Linked DNA regions of Sus scrofa. The protein of the gene in region 3 interacts with the protein of the main gene of each other region in a pairwise test. Links are inferred from orthologs where the notes say so. Each region holds a gene or a part of one and is shown on either strand. Other genes may lie near its edges. The genes, in order: PIN1, ELOA, HOMEZ and DEF6.

Region 1 (4,136 bases), on a different chromosome or scaffold from region 3:
GAGTGTGCGTGCATGTGTGCATGGGTACAGAGTGGTGGTGGTGGTGGAGATGCCCAGAGCACCGAGATTGGCTCTGATGAATCCAGAGCTGTGCGGTCAGGGCCCTTGCATTCCAGAATATTCTTTTTTTTTTTTTGGCCACCCAAGGCATATGAAGTTCCTGGGCCAGGGATCTGATCTGAACCACAGTTATAACCTATGCAGCATCTGTAGCAAGGCTGGATCCTTAACCCACTGTGCCAGGCTGGGGAATCGAACGTGCGCCCCAGTGCTCCAGAGAGGCCGCTAATCCTGTTGCACCACAGCGGGAACTCCTCTAGAATATTCTTGACCACCCAAGTTTGAGGACTTCTGATACTCATCAGTGCTCTACTTCCGAGAGTCTGGCTGCTGCTAGGATGCCCCCAAGCCCAGGATGAGGAGAGGCTTCTGAGGGAGGAAAGTGCAGCCTGGACACTTGGACACAAGGATGGCAGGAAATGATCACTTCCCCAACAGTGTCCCACCCACCTCAGCAGGGAGGAAATGAGACACGGGACAGTGGAATAGTGGTTCCAGGTTTAATTGAGGGTGGAGAGGGCGCTGCACTGCTGTGTAGAGAGAGCCCCGAAGCAGCAGGCAGCCTGGGCCCCAAGCGGAGCATCTGCTTTTTGCAATTGAAAAGAGGAACATGGCATAACCAGAAACAACTTAAGGCCCTCCTGCCCGCACGCCCCCCCACCCCCTTCCTGGACCTGGGGGAACACAGGGGGTGGCTCGGCTAACTAGGCCTTCTCTTTGGGACAGGTCACCCCCACCTGCTGGGTCTGGGAGCCTGGAGGGCCTCTCCACCCCAGGCCCTTCTGAAGTCAATTCCTAAAAGGGAGGGGAGTCTGGCAGGGAGACCCCGATGGTGAAGAGCCCCCCTTCCAGCCATGTTGGGATCAATAAATACTGTGTGACGTTAGCAGGCAGGGGGACCCACAGGTCGGCTGGCAGCAGGGAGCAGGGTCTGTGGGCCCAGCCACCCCGTCCCGCCCCACCCCACACCGGGAGGCCAGGCCTGAGCTGTCCACACCCCTCACTCCGTGCGCAGGATGATGTGGATGCCGGAATCCGTGAACACGGGCCCGCTCATCTCCCCTGTCCGCAGAGCAAAGGAGGCGTCTTCAAATGGCTTCTGCATCTGACCTGGGGAAGTATGAAGGCTGGTGTGTGCGGGGGGGTCAAGACCCGGGCCTGGGGCCAGGACCGGGCAGAGCCAGCAGATGGGGCGCCCACATGCCCGCCCCTGGCCCTCATTCAGACTCATCTGTCACAGGTTTATGGCCCTGTCAAGGGGCCAAGCTGCGGCCCAGCTGGGGGCGGCAGGGCTATTAAGGAGGCCCCAGGAAGCCGGAGGACAGTGTGAGGGATGGCAGGCAGAGCTGCAGCCTCTACCGTCCACTGAAGAGATACTTTTTAGTAATGAACTGATCTCCCTGGGCCCGGTTCCCAGCCACTGCCACATCACTTGTCCTACCTGCCTCCTGGGGTGGTCCGCAGCCCCTTGCTGGCTCCCTGACACCCCTCACCCCATTCTGGGCCCCTGATGACCCTGGGGATGGAGGGGGAAGGAGGCGGTGGCCTGGTTCCCTCTGCTCCTCGCTTTCCACAGTCTCAGCTGCAGAGGCCGGAACTCAGCGGTTGCTCACCTGACCTCCCTCCTCCCCTCACCCTGTTGTTCCCACCCACCAGGGGAGGCAAGGGATTCTGGGCCTCCAAGGGCCCCAGCCTGACATCTCCAATGGGAGAATAGGAAAATGTCAGCAAGCACCCACCCTGGTGGGCCTGTGATGGGGCCAAGTGAGCAGAGAGACACACAGACCGCCTCCCCACCCTAAGAAAGAAGGTCATTGGGAGAGGGCTCTGCGGCCGCCACTCCAACAGGGGAGCCTATGAAGCTCGAGGAGGAACAGTGCTGCCACCTGGTGGACCCTAGAGGCCTGCGCGACAGGGGCCAGCCCACCCTATCTCTAGGTGGGGGGCAGGCGCTGGTGGGTTAGGGGTTCCCGCCAGGGTTTGGTGGTGCCCATTCCTCGCGCACCTCTGCTGAAGGCACCCAGGTCTCCCCTGGCCTTGGCGGAGTTGCAGTCGCTGAACTGTGAGGCCAGAGATTCAAAGTCCTCCTCTCCCGACTTAATCTTCTGGATATAGCCTGCAGGACACACCGGGAGACCTCCACGTCAGTGGCGGGGCGGGGCGGGGGGAGCTCCAGGGAGGGCGGCAAGGCACTCCCTGTGCGCATGCGCAGTCACACCTGGAGTCGCAGGCACCCACGATGTGGGGCTTTTCATGTGCATGCACACCGCGACCCTATGGTGACCTCAACAGCCAGCTGGTCTCACACCCCATTCAATGCATGAGTCTCCCCATAATGGGCGCCTGTATGAACACGAGTACGCATGCGCGCACACATGAATGCTCCGTGAAGAGCATAGCTCTTCCTGCCCCTTCTCTCGACACACACGCTATGAGAGAAAATCTTCCTCCGGGTCGTGTTAGGGAGGATAGCAGGATACAGGACAGATGTTAAAAAGGGTCCCCCCAGGGGCCTCAAGGCAGTGGTAGGAAAGTTTTCTAGAGGCTTCTAGGAGAAAGGCAAGAAGGCCAAGGCACGTGCCCAGTTCTGCCATAGGAGACGGCCAGGTCCTGGGCCCATGGGTCTCAGCTGTCCCTTCTGTCCAAAGTGTGAGAAAGGCCAGGGCCGCTCACCAGGGCATTGCCAGGGGACCCAGAGGCTGCCAGGCTGGGGCTCGGAAAGGGACGTGCATTGTTCCACGGAGTACGCCCTAGGGGCGGCTGACAAGACTCTTCCTCCAGCTGCCCTGACAGGGTGTGTTGGCAGTGTACCACATTCACCCACCGTATGTGGCCCGGACTGTCCCCACTGGGGACCGATGCTCCCTGGAGGGACAGGGAGGCTGGGCTCTGTGAGGGGAGGAAAAGATGAAGGACTCCCAGTAGAGGGCGCCAGGGGGCAGCAGCGAGCCCAACGCTAGCCTGGTGCAAACTTCACGGTCTGACCTCAATGTCACTTGTCATCCATCTATCTGCCCCAGACGACCAGGACAGCACTCCCTATCACCCTGCCACCCCAACCCCATCTCGCTGCACATCAAGGCTGCAACCGCCTGTCCCAGCATCTGCTTTGCCTGGCTGGTTCCATGGCTGTCCCTATAACCCCCACCTTCCCTGTATCTTGGCCACGCTCATACTGTCCTGACCACCCCTCTACCTCTGAGCCTCAAATGTTAGTCATCTGCCAGCAGATAATGCACTGACACACAGCACAGTGCTCGGCACAGAGAGACACCTTGACAAAGCACACTTGCTGTTGCCATTCTGTTCTCCCTTCTGTGTGGGCTGCCAGCCAGTGATGAGGCTGTCCCTACTCTCCCATCCACCCATCCCTGGTCCTCCTGGTCTGCACTGGCCGTCACCTTGACATGCTGCCTGTCAGACAGGCTCTCTGATGCAACACAAAAGCCCCAACCTCTACGGACTGCATGCTGCAGTGGCTTCTGCTATAATGTGCCAGTGTGCTCGGACCACCCCTCTGGGGCTCCCAGGTGGTCCCCCTAAGCCAGAGGCATCTTCGAGTGACTATGATCTGAGTGACTCTGGGCTGAACAGGCTGTCACTGGGATATCCCTCCCCGACCTCCTCTTCTCCCTGGATTCTGGTTCTCTCTCAGCCTCACCGGGGCAGCAACAAGATGGCCTCTTCCTCGCTCCTCTGTCCAGACCTCGGTAACGCCAGCCAGGGAATCCTGAGTGCACAGTGGCCCCCAGTGTACCTGTCCACCTCCAGGGACTCTGGCGAGGGCACCATTTACACCTGGGGAGTCAGGCCCAGCCCTGTATAAGCACCCCCTTGCTGCATCCTCCAGCAGCTGGGGGTGTGGATACAGCCACAGGATCCCCAAGACTAGATGGCCTGTCCAAGGTACATACACAGTGAGTATGTACAGGCAACAGCAGCCTAAACACTGACTAAGAGACAAGCTTTTGCCCCCTCCCGTAGTTCACAGCACCCAAATCTTCTTCTGATCGGCCAACTCCCTCAGAAAATATCCTGCTTGGATGGGAGCCTGACATGATTTCTAAAAAAATTTG
Region 2 (4,124 bases), on a different chromosome or scaffold from region 3:
GTTGCTGTGCCTGTGGCTGTGGCATAGGCCGGCGGCTACAGCTCTGATTCGACCCCTAGTCTGGGAACCTCCATATGCCAAGGGGGCGGCCCTAGAAAAGACCAAAAAAAAGGAGAAAAAAAAATGTACAGTATCAGTTAATATATTAATAAACCTCACAAGAAATCTATACAGAAACAATTTCAGGAGTTCCTGTTGTGGCACAGTGGTTAACGAATCCGACTAGGAACCATGAAGTTGCAGGTTTGGTCCCTGGCCTTGCTCAGTGGGTTGAGGATCCAGCGTTGCCGTGAGCTGTGGGGTAGCTTGCAGTCGCGGCTCAGATCCGGCATTGCTGTGGCTCTGGCGTAGGCTGGTGGCTACAGCTCCGATTAGACCCCTAGCCTGGGAGGTCTTATATGCCGCGAGTGCGGCCCAAGAAAAGGCAAAAAGACAAACAATTTCAGCCAGTAAGTTGACCACAGTCAGCATTGCTAGAGGTAGGGACTGGAGCTCAGGTTGTCACTGAGCCCCAACCCTCTGTCCTTCACACTCACCACCCAACAAACCTCACACTCTGTCCACTTGGTAAGATAGAGGAGTGGCAGCGCCCAAGCCAGGAGTGGTCCAACGGGGAAGCCCTCCACCCAGAAGTATTCCTCACTCAGCACACTGCCCAGCTCACAGAATTCCAATGGACCATTCCGTGAAAGACAAGGGCCCCCTTCTGCTGTTGAAGACAGCATCTTTGGTGTTTGTTTTCACTTGTCTTTCAGGATTCTAATTGACTCTAGTGCCAGCCAGCCTGGGGTTGCTTTTTTCCAAAATTAAAGTACCTTTATGGGTTTTTTTTATTATTATAAAAGTACATATTTGTTGAAGTTCCCATTGTAGCTCAGTGGTAATGAACCCAACTAGAATCCATGAGGATGCGGGTTTGATCCCTGGCCTTGCTCAGTGAGTTAAACATCCAGTGTTGCCGTGAGCTGTGGTGTAGGTGCCGTGATGTGGCTTGGATCCTGCATTGCTGTGGCTGTGGTGTAGGGTGGCAGCTGCAGCTCCAATTCTACTCCTAGCCTGGAAACTTCTTATGCCATGAGTGCGGCCCTAAAAAGCAAAAAAAAAAAAAAAAAAAGGAAAGTAGATATTTGTTGCAAAAAGTCAAAAGTGTGCCTAGCAAAGATGAGAACCTTCCTACCCATTTTTCTTCCCCAGTATAGCCTTAAACATGCCTTCTGAACCTGTTTTTTAGGTCTTCTACAAGGGGCTCTATAGTGCTGGTAAGAGAGGTGGGAAATCCTTGTCAGGTTTTCTAATGATACTCTGGGCTAACGTTAAGTTGAATAGTAATTAGTTCAGTTTTCAAGAAACCTTCATGGAATGCCACCTGTGGGCTAAGTATTGTTGATCCAAGATGGACAAAACAGCCTCAGACTTTAGGGAACAGCATTCTGCTGTTGAAAACCCTTGTATAAACCAAGGAGTAGATTGTAATCCCCCAGTGAATATATACAAAATATCATTTTCAGAACTGGCTAAAAAACTTTCTTTTTAATCGGCGTGACATGTACAACATAATTAACTGATCTGCCAAGTAGTCAGATATTCAAGTGAGACTTCAATATTCGCAAGTCTCAGGTTGACATACATAGGGTAGAGGGTTGGGGTGCGCTCTCCCCAGTATCCCCAGCAGCATGCATTGTTTCTTTTTATTCTGGTTGTTGAGATCTCCCCGGGTAACATGCACAAAATGTTCTGAGTGTCTCAAGTATATGCCAGGTCAGTTAGTCAGCAATTCTGCTTAAAAAATGGGCCCATTTTCCCATTACACCAATGTTACATTTTCAAAATGGAAGCAATTTAAAATGTAAATGTAAAAGCATTTGCTGTGCAGAAAAGGGAGACTCTAGGGCCAGGACTAGAATCCAAGTCTCCTCATGCCTAGTTTGATGTGTTTTCCATTATACTTCATGATTGAGTCTTAGGGCACCAAGCAGGTGATGATTAATCTTTATGGACTTTTTATCCAGTGCTGATTCTATGGACTAGTTTATACCAGGCAACAGAGATTTAAAGTTGGACAGGTCAATGATGGCAGCTGATAAACAGCTCAGTGACAGGACAGAAGAATAGATGGACAGTTTACACCCTGAAAAGGGTTAGTTGCAGAGGAAAGGGCACCAAGCAGAGGGGTGGGAACACCTTAGGGAGGTCTTCTCAATTTAGTGAGTGCATGAAAGTTCTTTTACTTTTTCCGGAGCTGGGACTTGAAGAGCTGCTGGGCCTTCCCGCATTGGGTGAAAGGTCAGGCTCCCAAATTGCTGATAGTGATAAGATTAGGATATAATCTAATCAAACAAAATGTGATCAATGCTGGTATTTTAAACCAATTTTCCACTGTTCAGTACTTCATTTTAGTAGTAATAATAGTAATAGTGAAATTTAGTGCTTATAGGATGAGGGTAAGGGCCCTCAAGGATGGTCTCTTGGGCTGGTCTGATTCAGGCTGTACTGATTTAGAGAAAACAGCCATTCATTCATTCAATTATTCATTGAAGAAGTATTTCTTTGGTACCTCTGTACAAGACACTGTTTTGGGAGAAAAGTGAGACATGGACTATTATTAATTACTTCACGTAGCTAAACTGACTTGACAAATCCCTCTCTCTAGGCCTCAACTCCTTGACCTATTCAGAGATGTGCGTTAACAGCGTACCTAAACTGTTTATATTCAAATTCCAGCTTCGCACTTCTTTCCTGTTATGTGATCACATGCAAGTTCGACTCCCAGGGCTTCAGTTTCGTCATCTGTAAAATGGGGATAATATAACTCCTTTCTTTGGGTTTAAGTGAAGGTGAAATTAAGCTAGTTTACAGCTGACGCTTAGTGCGCCCAATCAGGGGTGGTCACTATGTTAATTCCCTGCTGATTCCCAGGGCAGCAGACCCACCCTGGAACCACACACAGGTGTTACTTAGGGCGTGGCTTACGGCGGACGGGGGTGGACCAGGGTTTATAAAGCCAGGGTCTCAGGCGCTCGCCTCATTCCACCTTGGTTAGACACGGGACAGGTCTTCCAGGCCTTGGCTCCGCACACCAAGGACCAGAAGCAGGGCCGGCCAGCGGTGACCAGTGCGGAGCGGGCCAGGACGGAGCGGACCAGTGCAGAGTCGGCGCGCGGGGACCAAGCGGCTCCAGCTCCCCGCGCGCGCTCGCGCGCGGCCGGGGTACGCGCTGAAAACCTGGTCCCCCGGCCCCCCAGCCCTGTGGGCGGGGCCTGCAGCCGGCCAGCCCCCCACGCCCCGCGCCCCCCCACTTCGCCAAGGCCCGGAAGGGGCCAGTCGCGCTTCCGTCTCCGCCGGGGATGCACGGAGGGCGGAGCTGCAGCCCGAGGACGCGACGCGAGCCCAGTTCCGGCGAGGAGGCCGCGCCAGTGACAGCGATGGCGGCGGAGTCGGCGCTCCAAGTTGTGGAGAAGCTGCAGGCGCGCCTAGCCGCGAACCCGGACCCGAAGAAGGTGAGCGAGTGGGCAGCGCGGAGCGGGGCGGGCGTTGGGCGCGGCGTGACCCCGTAACGGTCGCGGGCCCGGGGGCGGCCCCTTCCCGAGCGGCCCGGGCGGTAGGGTCTCGGACCCGGAGCGCGGCCCCGCCGGGCTTCGGCCTGCGGTCGGGAAGTTCGTGGCCATTGGCCACTGCCCACGCGGTGGGACCCCGCACGGCTGGCGGCGCGCCTCCGCGATCCGGCCTTCCTGCCTCCGGGGCCGGGCCGGGGCGCCCGCGGGCTCCGGGAGGGCAGGAGCGCGCTCCGTGCGGCCACCGCGTGCCGGCGGGGCTCCCGGAGCCCTCCTCCGGCGTCCCGGGCCAGCTGTTTCCTGTCGGGAGAGCTCGCCCGGAGTTAACTCCTGCCTGCTCCGTCCCTCGCCCTGCGAAATGTTTCTGATTTCTTAGTGCCTTTTGATGTTTGTTGGGAGAAGGAGGTGGTTCTGCCATTGCTTGATGGGGAGTCTAAGCTCAGTGTGGTCCTGCGCCTATAAGACGTTTTTATTGCATTCTGACGTGGTATTAGAACGTGGACCTTTTCACTTTCTCAGTAAGTCTTTTTAAAACAACATTAACCTCCTGTCACCTAGGTAAAAACTTAGGTT
Region 3 (4,017 bases):
TAAAGGACACAGCTTTTAGGAGCTGAGACTGTTACTAAATGTGCTGAGGGAGAGAGGAGAGGAATGGGCAAACGCAAGGCACACAAAAGAAAATAGGGTTCTGAGCTGAAGCACAGATATATTTCTGATGCTTTGCAATCCTAAAAAAGCTCTAGACCTTAGTGTGGAGTGGTGAAGAATCAGAAGTAGCAGTTATGATGGCTGAATTTTAGGGGGTACACGAGAAGGGGTGAAGTCTGTGGAATACAGAAGAGTCACTTCTGAAAGTACTGTTCCCATATATGTATAACTGGGTCACTTTGCTGTACAGCAGAAATTGACAGAACATTGTAAATTGACTACAATAAGAAAGAAGGAAAAAAAAGTACTGTTCCCAAGTTTTAGTCAGAAGACTGAGAATCCTGACTATACAAATTTACGGCCCAGAATTGTGGTGTGGAATACTGTTTTAGTGTAAACCCTTTCTTGACAGCAAAACCCACGGTCCCAAATATGAGTTACAGCTCCAGGTCCTCTTTACTATGGCAGAAAGGGGGGCCTGGGGAGGTGTGGAGTGTCCTAAACAAGGTGACCCCTCCAGCACTTCCTCTTTGAGAACATCCGTCTGGTGACAACTGGACCCGGGAAGCGGCCCAAGGTGCCAGGCTGCTAGGATCCTTGTCTTTCGGGGTGGCCAAGACATTCTATACAAGTTCCCGGTTGCTCTACGCGTTTACAGTGACGCCGCCGACGGCAGCTGGGAACGCGCGCCTCCTTGTGTGAGCTGGGAAAGGAATACAGAAAAAGTCTTCCTTCCGGAGGAAACAAATAAGGAGTAGTTTGTAGGCGGTCTGGACAGTTCAACAAACTGCTGTGAATTCCTTGGGGAATTCCAGCAGGAACAGGGCCCTGTGGACTCCGAAGATCCGGTGCCCACAAGGTGGGGGGGGCGGGGGAGCGCGGGGCGGAGTACCATTCACGGCACCCTAGCGGCGGGGGGACATCTTCCCTGTCCCACGCACCCAATAGTCACCCCGGCTGAGGCACAACGCAGCCAATAGCGGACTTCAACAGAGACCCACGCTGCCAATGGCCGGCTCAGCCCCTTCCGCCGGGGCCCGCCTCCTTAAACCCACCAATCAGGACTCTGGCCACCTTGGCACCGCCCCTGGGGCCCGCCCCACCCATCCGCCCCGCCTCCAACTCGCTGGAGCTGGGCTGGGCTTGACCGGCGCGCTCTCGGGGGCGGGAGGGGGGCAAGTCCCGGTCCTGGCCCTCGGCGCGGGTGGGCTCGGAGCAGGCCGCACCGGGCAGCAACCCTATTCTCACCCCGGAGGCCCCCTGCCCTTTCTCCCCCTTTCCCCCCGGCCCATGGTGCGAGGCTGGGAGCCGCCGCCCGGGCCGGACAGCGGTGAGTGATCCCCAGCCCTTTCGACTTCCCCTCCCAGCCCGTGTACGATCTCCGACCTCTGGAGTTCCATCCCCGCGCTAGGGGGAGGAGAATTCTGGGTTCGAAGTTGCCCGGTTCTCTCTCCTTTCTCCTCTGGACTTTTCGGTTCCCTGTTGTAACTGGGGGAGGGTGAGTGGGTGTGTAGGGAGGAGGGGAAAGCAGGGTTGGGACGCCCTCGGAAAGGGGAGGATAAAGATTCGCCTGCTCTCTGGGGCTCATCGCCCCAAGTGCAGCAACTTTTTGTTCTCTGACCCAGTTCGGAGCCTTCTAGACTGCCTGTGAAATGGAGGATAGGAGAAACGTTTCCTTCCCAAGGCCTCCCCTCCTCCCCTCCACGACTACCTCCTGGCGACCTCAACACACGCACAGAAACCTGGCCTTATTCCTGGGGAGCAGTGGCCTTTGGGAATGAAAGGTTTAAGAGAAACTACTCCTTCTGACCCCTTTACCCAGCCATACTCAGAAAATCAAACCAGTAAAGTGAGAACCTGAGTCTTCAGAGGTTCCTGGTGTTGCGTCCTAATCTGAGACTTCTGAACCGAAAGACTCAAGCTGAGACCTATTTGGTAATGTGGGCCCAGATGAGATCTTTTATCATATGACCCCCCTTCTCACCATACCTTTGAAGCGCTTTTTATGGTTAAGATAGGTAGGTGGCAGTAATTGAAAACAAAAAAGCCAGCTGGGAATTTTTAAATGATGCATACACATCTTAAGCATTGTCATTAAAAGTACATTCATTTCACCAATCTCTTGGGTTAGTGTCCAGGCGTTTTCTTTGTGTACATTCTGCTGACTGGCAGTCCCAGTTGCCTTTGTAGTATAAACTACATAAGCAAATCTCAAATCTGACTGCACCCTGAGAACTTTTTAAAACTACTTATGCCTGGGCCCTAGTCCAGGCTAATTAAGTCGGAGTGAGGAGGTGAATGCTCTGGTTTCAGTTTTCCAGGTAATTCTAATGTGCAGTCTGAGACAGGAGCCACTGCCTCTCATCTGTGATTTCCAGGTTTCGTTTCTTTATAGTGAAGTGGAAATTTAAACACAAATTTAAAAACATTTAAATCTGAATGGAATACCTCTTGAGATTTTTAAGTCCCCTGCCCCTTCCATTCTTTTACAGTTGTCTTGCCTACTCTCAAGTTTTTTAAAATGTACGCTCCTTTGTATTACGTCTTTTGAAAGCATGTGACTGTTTTCATAGGAACAATTCTTAACATACTAATTTTTTCATAGGTTTATGTGATGTTGAATTTATATAAACACAGAAAAACAATAGGCCTAAGCAGGCTTGGAATATCACACACCATGCCTGAGGACACAGAACGACTGAAGGAAGCAGGTGATTTTGGCACACTGGAAAGTAGCCTAACAGCCTCTAGTTTCCAGTGCCCTGTGGGTGTGGATTACCATGTAATCCAGTGAGGATCTGTTAAGTCAGGCTCCTGGCCCAGTTGAACATCCCTGGCTGCCACTCTTTCCAACTAATATCACCAATACCTAATCCCTTCAAGGCTAATTCAGATTCTCTTGAGGCTTCCATCCACTCTTTTGATTCATTCATAAAAAGTTGTTTCTTCTTTAAGCAATTACCACACATTGCCTTTATTTATTAAATCGGGAGGACATAGGCAGAGTTTCTTAACCTGGGCTTGTGGGCACTCAGTGAACCCCCTGAGATTATACTATATATAATATGAGAGTGTGAATGTTTATTGGTGGGGGGGTATAAGTCATAACTTTCTGAGGGTCTGTAATTTCTGATTTTCAAAGAGTTCCTTGATCCAAAAACTTAAGAAGCACATGAATATCACTAAAAGCCCCTTAAGGTCCTGAAAACTCTCACCAAAACACATTTCATTCAAAAACATACTTCAGTTCTCTGAGTAAACATTTAGGGAATTTAGCAGGATCATATCTGTTCTCTTATTTGAATGATCTCTTGCTTTAACCACAAGTCTAGGCTCAAGTTCAATTTTTTTTTTTTCCTTTTTGTCTGGGCCAGGGATCAGATCCCAGCTGCAGTTTGTTATCTGAACCGCAGTTTGCGACCTACACTGCAGCTGCAATGCTGGACCCTTTAACCCACTGTGCCAGGCTGGGGACTGAACCTTGGTCCTAGTGCTACAGAATATTGATCCCATTGTGCCACAGCAGGAACTCCTAGGCTCAAGTTCTGAAGACCTCCTTTCTCTAGGATTATTGTGAACATCAACATCAGAAGTTTAAGGCAACCCATTTTTTTCTGCCATCTGCCCAGGGGTATGGAAAGCCCAAAGGGAAGTAAGAGTGTTATCTTGACTGTATTTATTGATGACTTTAAGTAGCAGTGGGACATATGTGGCAATTTTTGGGGGCATTTTTAATAAGGATGCAAACTTAATAGTAATTCAGAATTGATAATACCACCACTGACATGGACACCTCTGCCCAGAGGATTTATTTCTCTAGCTCTGATTCCCTTTTTTCCTACCTTCTCCAAAGGAGGTACAAGAACACAAGACACTGTAGTGTCTTCACTGTGGTTGTGATTACTGTAGAATCTACCCTTCTTGTTGGAGTTCTCATAAGCCACTCCCTGGTTTCTT
Region 4 (3,562 bases), about 45 Mb from region 3:
CCCAGGCGGGGTCTCACCAGGTCCATCAGCCCACCGCCTCCGCCCCGGGTGCGGCCGCACCTGCTCCGCCTCGCGCAATTGGCCCTCGAGCGCCTGCTGCAGCTCGCGGTGCTGGCTGCGGCGCCGCTCCTCCTCCTCCTGCAGCAGGCGCTCTGCCTGCCGCTGCGCCTCCTGCAGCAGCTCCAGCTCCTGCAGCTTCCGCTCCTTCTCCTCCTGTAGCTGCTGCAGCCGCAGCATCTCCTCCTCCTTGGCTGCCCGGCGCCGCTCCCGCTGCTCCCGCTGCTCGCGCCGCTTCTGCTTCAGGTCCTTGTGCAGCGACGTCTTCCCCTCTGCCTGCAGCCGAATCGCCATCTGGATGGCTGCAGAGGAAGCGAGAGGGGACCAGCTAGGGGCAGAGAGGCCTCGAGGTGGCCCCCTGCCAGGAGAGGGCTTTGGAGTCCCGCCTCGCGCTGGGCAAAGTGCTATCATCCCCCCCACACCCCTTTTCACAGATGAGACGACCGAGGCCCGGTCAGATTCAGGCCAACCGGCGAGCACCCACCAGCCGTCCACTCCTGGCGTTGGCGAGTGTCTGAAGCACTCATCTCGTACGTGCGGGAGGCCGTCTTCACGCAGAACATGCAGCGCTTCCCCTCTCGGTCGGGCAGCACCTGGGAGAGGGCAGGAGGCTCCAGACAGGCTGGCGTCACTGGGTTCAGGCCACAGCCGCCCCAGGGGGGCTCCAGCTCCAGCCCCTGCCCCTCCTGGCTGAGCCCCAGGGGAACCCCTCCCCCTCCGCCAGGAGCCTGCGTGGCCTGCTTGGGAGGTCGGGTATAGGGATGCTTGTGTCCCCACAACTTGGCTCTTTGAAGGTAGGACCGGTTTCCTCCTGCATGGAGCCTAGCACCTAGTGGCCTCCCAGTGTTCATGCAGATCACTGTCAAACATCTCCAGTGACAGTCACTACTGAGACCATCCATTTTCGCATGGCCCTGCCTGGCAAGAAAGTTCTCCATTCATTCATTCCACAGATAATTTTATCAAATCTCCTGAATGCCACTCATTGCTCTGGGCATTTGGGATACTGAGATGTGCCCAACAAACCAAATCCCTGCCTTCCCTAAGCTCACATTCTAGTGGAAAACAACAGCTACCCCATATTGAGCTTCATGGGTACTAGGGTCTGTACCAGGCAGTTTATGAAAGTGCCAATTTCTCACCAACACTTATTATTTTACATTTAAAACATTTGTTAGGTCCACTTTACAGAGAAAGAAACTGAGGCTCTAAGAGTCCAAGAACTTGCCCAATGCACACCGCCTGTTAGTGGTGGAACTGGATTTCTGCCTAAATCTGAGCTCTTTCCACAGTGACAGCTGTTTCCTTATGTGATAAAAATGGACAGGGCCTAGAAAGGCTATAATAATGTTTCAAATGTAAAACAATAAGTGTTGGTGAGAAATTGGAACTTTCATACAATGTTGGTGAGAATGTAAGATGGTATAGGCACTATGGAAAACTGTTTGGCTGTTCCTCCGAAAGGTAAACACAGAATTACCATGTGAGAGAGTTCCCCTTGTGGCTCAGTGGGTTATGAACCCAACTAGTATCCATGAGGATACGGGTTCAATCCCCAGCCTCGATCAGTGGGTTAAGGATCTGGTATTGCTGTGGCGTAGGCCAGCAGCTGCAGCTCCTGTTCAACCCTTAGCCTGGGAACTTCCATATAACACAGGTGTGGCCCTAAAATAAAAGGAAAAGAAAAAAAAATTACTATGTGATCCAGCAAGTCTACCCCTAGGTATGTACCTAGAGAAAAGAAAATACATATCCACCCAGAAACTCGCACCTGATGTCCATAATGGCATTATTCGCAATAGCAAAAAGATCGAAACTACCAAATATCCATGAATGGATGAGTAGAAAAACAAGATGTAGTATATCCTTACAGTGGAATATTATTCAGCCATAAAAAGGAATGAAGTCCTGGAGTTCCCGTTGTGGCACAGCAGAAATGAATATGAGTGGTAACCATGAGGTTGCAAGTTCAAACCCCGACCTTGCTCAGTGGGTTAAGGATCTGGCATTGCCATGAGCTGTAGTGTAGGGCTCAGATCCCATGTCGCTGTGGCTGTGGCCGGCCGGCAGCTGTGGTTCCGATTCAACCCCTAGCCTGGGAACTTCCATATGCCACAGTTGTGGCTCTAAAAAGCAAAAAAAAAAAAAAAAAAAAAAAAAAAGGAATGAAGTCCTGATTCATGCCACAACATGCTTGAAAATGTTATGCCAAGTGAAAGAAGCCAGGCACAAAAGGACAAATATTATATTATATTATTCCCTTATATGAGGCACCTGGAATAGGCAAGTTCATGGAGGCAGAAAAGCAGAATAGAGGTTATAGAGGCACTGAAAGGGAGGAAGGATGAGTTATCACTTAATAGGTGCAGAGTTTCTGTTTGACATGATAAAAAAAAAAAAGCTTTGGAAATAGATAACTGTGATGGTTACATGTGAATGTACTTAATACTACTGAATTGTAAAATGGTTAAAAAGGCAAATTACATTGTGAAGTATATGTTTATGTATTTTACTACTTTTTTTTTTTTTTTTGCTTTTTAGGCTGCACCTGCGGCATATGGGGGTTCCCAGGCTAGGGGGCGAGTAGGAACTATACCCACCAGCCTATGCCACAGCCATGGCAAGGCAGGATCTGAGCTGCGTCTTCCACCTACACCACAGCTGACAGCAACGCCAGATCCTTAACTCACTGAGCGAGGCCAGGAATTGAACCTGCATCCTCATGGATGCTAGTCAGATTTGTTAACTGCTGAGCCACGACGGGAACTCCTAATTGTTGTTTCACACCTCTAAGATAATGGGCAGGGCCCAGGGAGGAAAAGGTGTGGGAAGGAAGGAAGAATAGGGAGGTATAGAGTTGCCAAAGGGAATGGAATTTGGGTGAAGGAGAAAGATGTTTCGAGAGGATTTTTAGAAAAGTTTTGCTGGGTAATATGAGCCCTAAGCCATCTATCTCCTCTGAAATCTGGAGCAAAATCCACATTATTCACCCATGATTTTAGTATTTGATCTGTAGTTTTGGGTTTTTTTTTTTAAAGTACTGACATATGGAATCTAAAAACGAAAAACAAAACAAATGAACAGGAGTTCCTGTTGTGGCTCAGCGGTAAGGAACCCAATTAGTATCCATGAGGATGTGGGTTGATTCCTGGTCTTGCTCAGTGGGTTAAGGATCCAGCATTGCCGTGAGCTGTGGTGTAGGTTGCAGATGTGGCTCGGATCTGGTGTTCCTGTGGCTGTGGTGTAGGCCAGCAGCTGTAGGTCTGATTTGACCCCTAGCCTGGGAAACTCCATATGCCGTGGGTGTAAGCCCTAAACAGAAAAATAAATAAATAAAATTTTTAAAAATGAACAAAGCTAACAAAACATAAACAGAATTATAGATTCAGAGAATAAATAGGTGTTTGCCAGAGAGTAGGGTGGCAGGAGTGGAAAGGAAAATTGACAGAGATTCAGAGGTATGAACTTTCAGTTGCAAAAGGAGTGAGTCATGGGTATAAAATGT

The links.
Region 1: the proteins of HOMEZ (region 3) and PIN1 interact in binary tests that used the Homo sapiens proteins (3 or more experiments, as listed by UniProt). The two-hybrid records come from large-scale screens. The link is inferred for Sus scrofa from reciprocal best matches to the Homo sapiens genes HOMEZ and PIN1.
Region 2: the proteins of HOMEZ (region 3) and ELOA interact in binary tests that used the Homo sapiens proteins (3 or more experiments, as listed by UniProt). The two-hybrid records come from large-scale screens. The link is inferred for Sus scrofa from reciprocal best matches to the Homo sapiens genes HOMEZ and ELOA.
Region 4: the proteins of HOMEZ (region 3) and DEF6 interact in binary tests that used the Homo sapiens proteins (3 or more experiments, as listed by UniProt). The two-hybrid records come from large-scale screens. The link is inferred for Sus scrofa from reciprocal best matches to the Homo sapiens genes HOMEZ and DEF6.

The regions. Positions count from the first base shown.
Region 1 is NC_010444.4:68,725,882-68,730,017, reverse strand, and holds the end of PIN1 (peptidyl-prolyl cis-trans isomerase NIMA-interacting 1), read right to left. Parts: intron 2,177-4,136; coding exon 2,066-2,176; intron 1,171-2,065; coding exon 1,061-1,170; 3' UTR 547-1,060; downstream 1-546. UniProt on the Homo sapiens protein: Peptidyl-prolyl cis/trans isomerase (PPIase) that binds to and isomerizes specific phosphorylated Ser/Thr-Pro (pSer/Thr-Pro) motifs.
Region 2 is NC_010448.4:81,563,477-81,567,600, forward strand, and holds the start of ELOA (elongin-A), read left to right. Parts: upstream 1-1,315; 5' UTR 1,316-3,344; coding exon 3,345-3,497; intron 3,498-4,124. UniProt on the Homo sapiens protein: SIII, also known as elongin, is a general transcription elongation factor that increases the RNA polymerase II transcription elongation past template-encoded arresting sites.
Region 3 is NC_010449.5:75,788,011-75,792,027, forward strand, and holds the start of HOMEZ (homeobox and leucine zipper protein Homez), read left to right. Parts: upstream 1-1,173; 5' UTR 1,174-1,350; coding exon 1,351-1,390; intron 1,391-4,017. UniProt on the Homo sapiens protein: May function as a transcriptional regulator.
Region 4 is NC_010449.5:31,208,778-31,212,339, reverse strand, and holds part of DEF6 (differentially expressed in FDCP 6 homolog), read right to left. Parts: intron 651-3,562; coding exon 542-650; intron 360-541; coding exon 61-359; intron 1-60.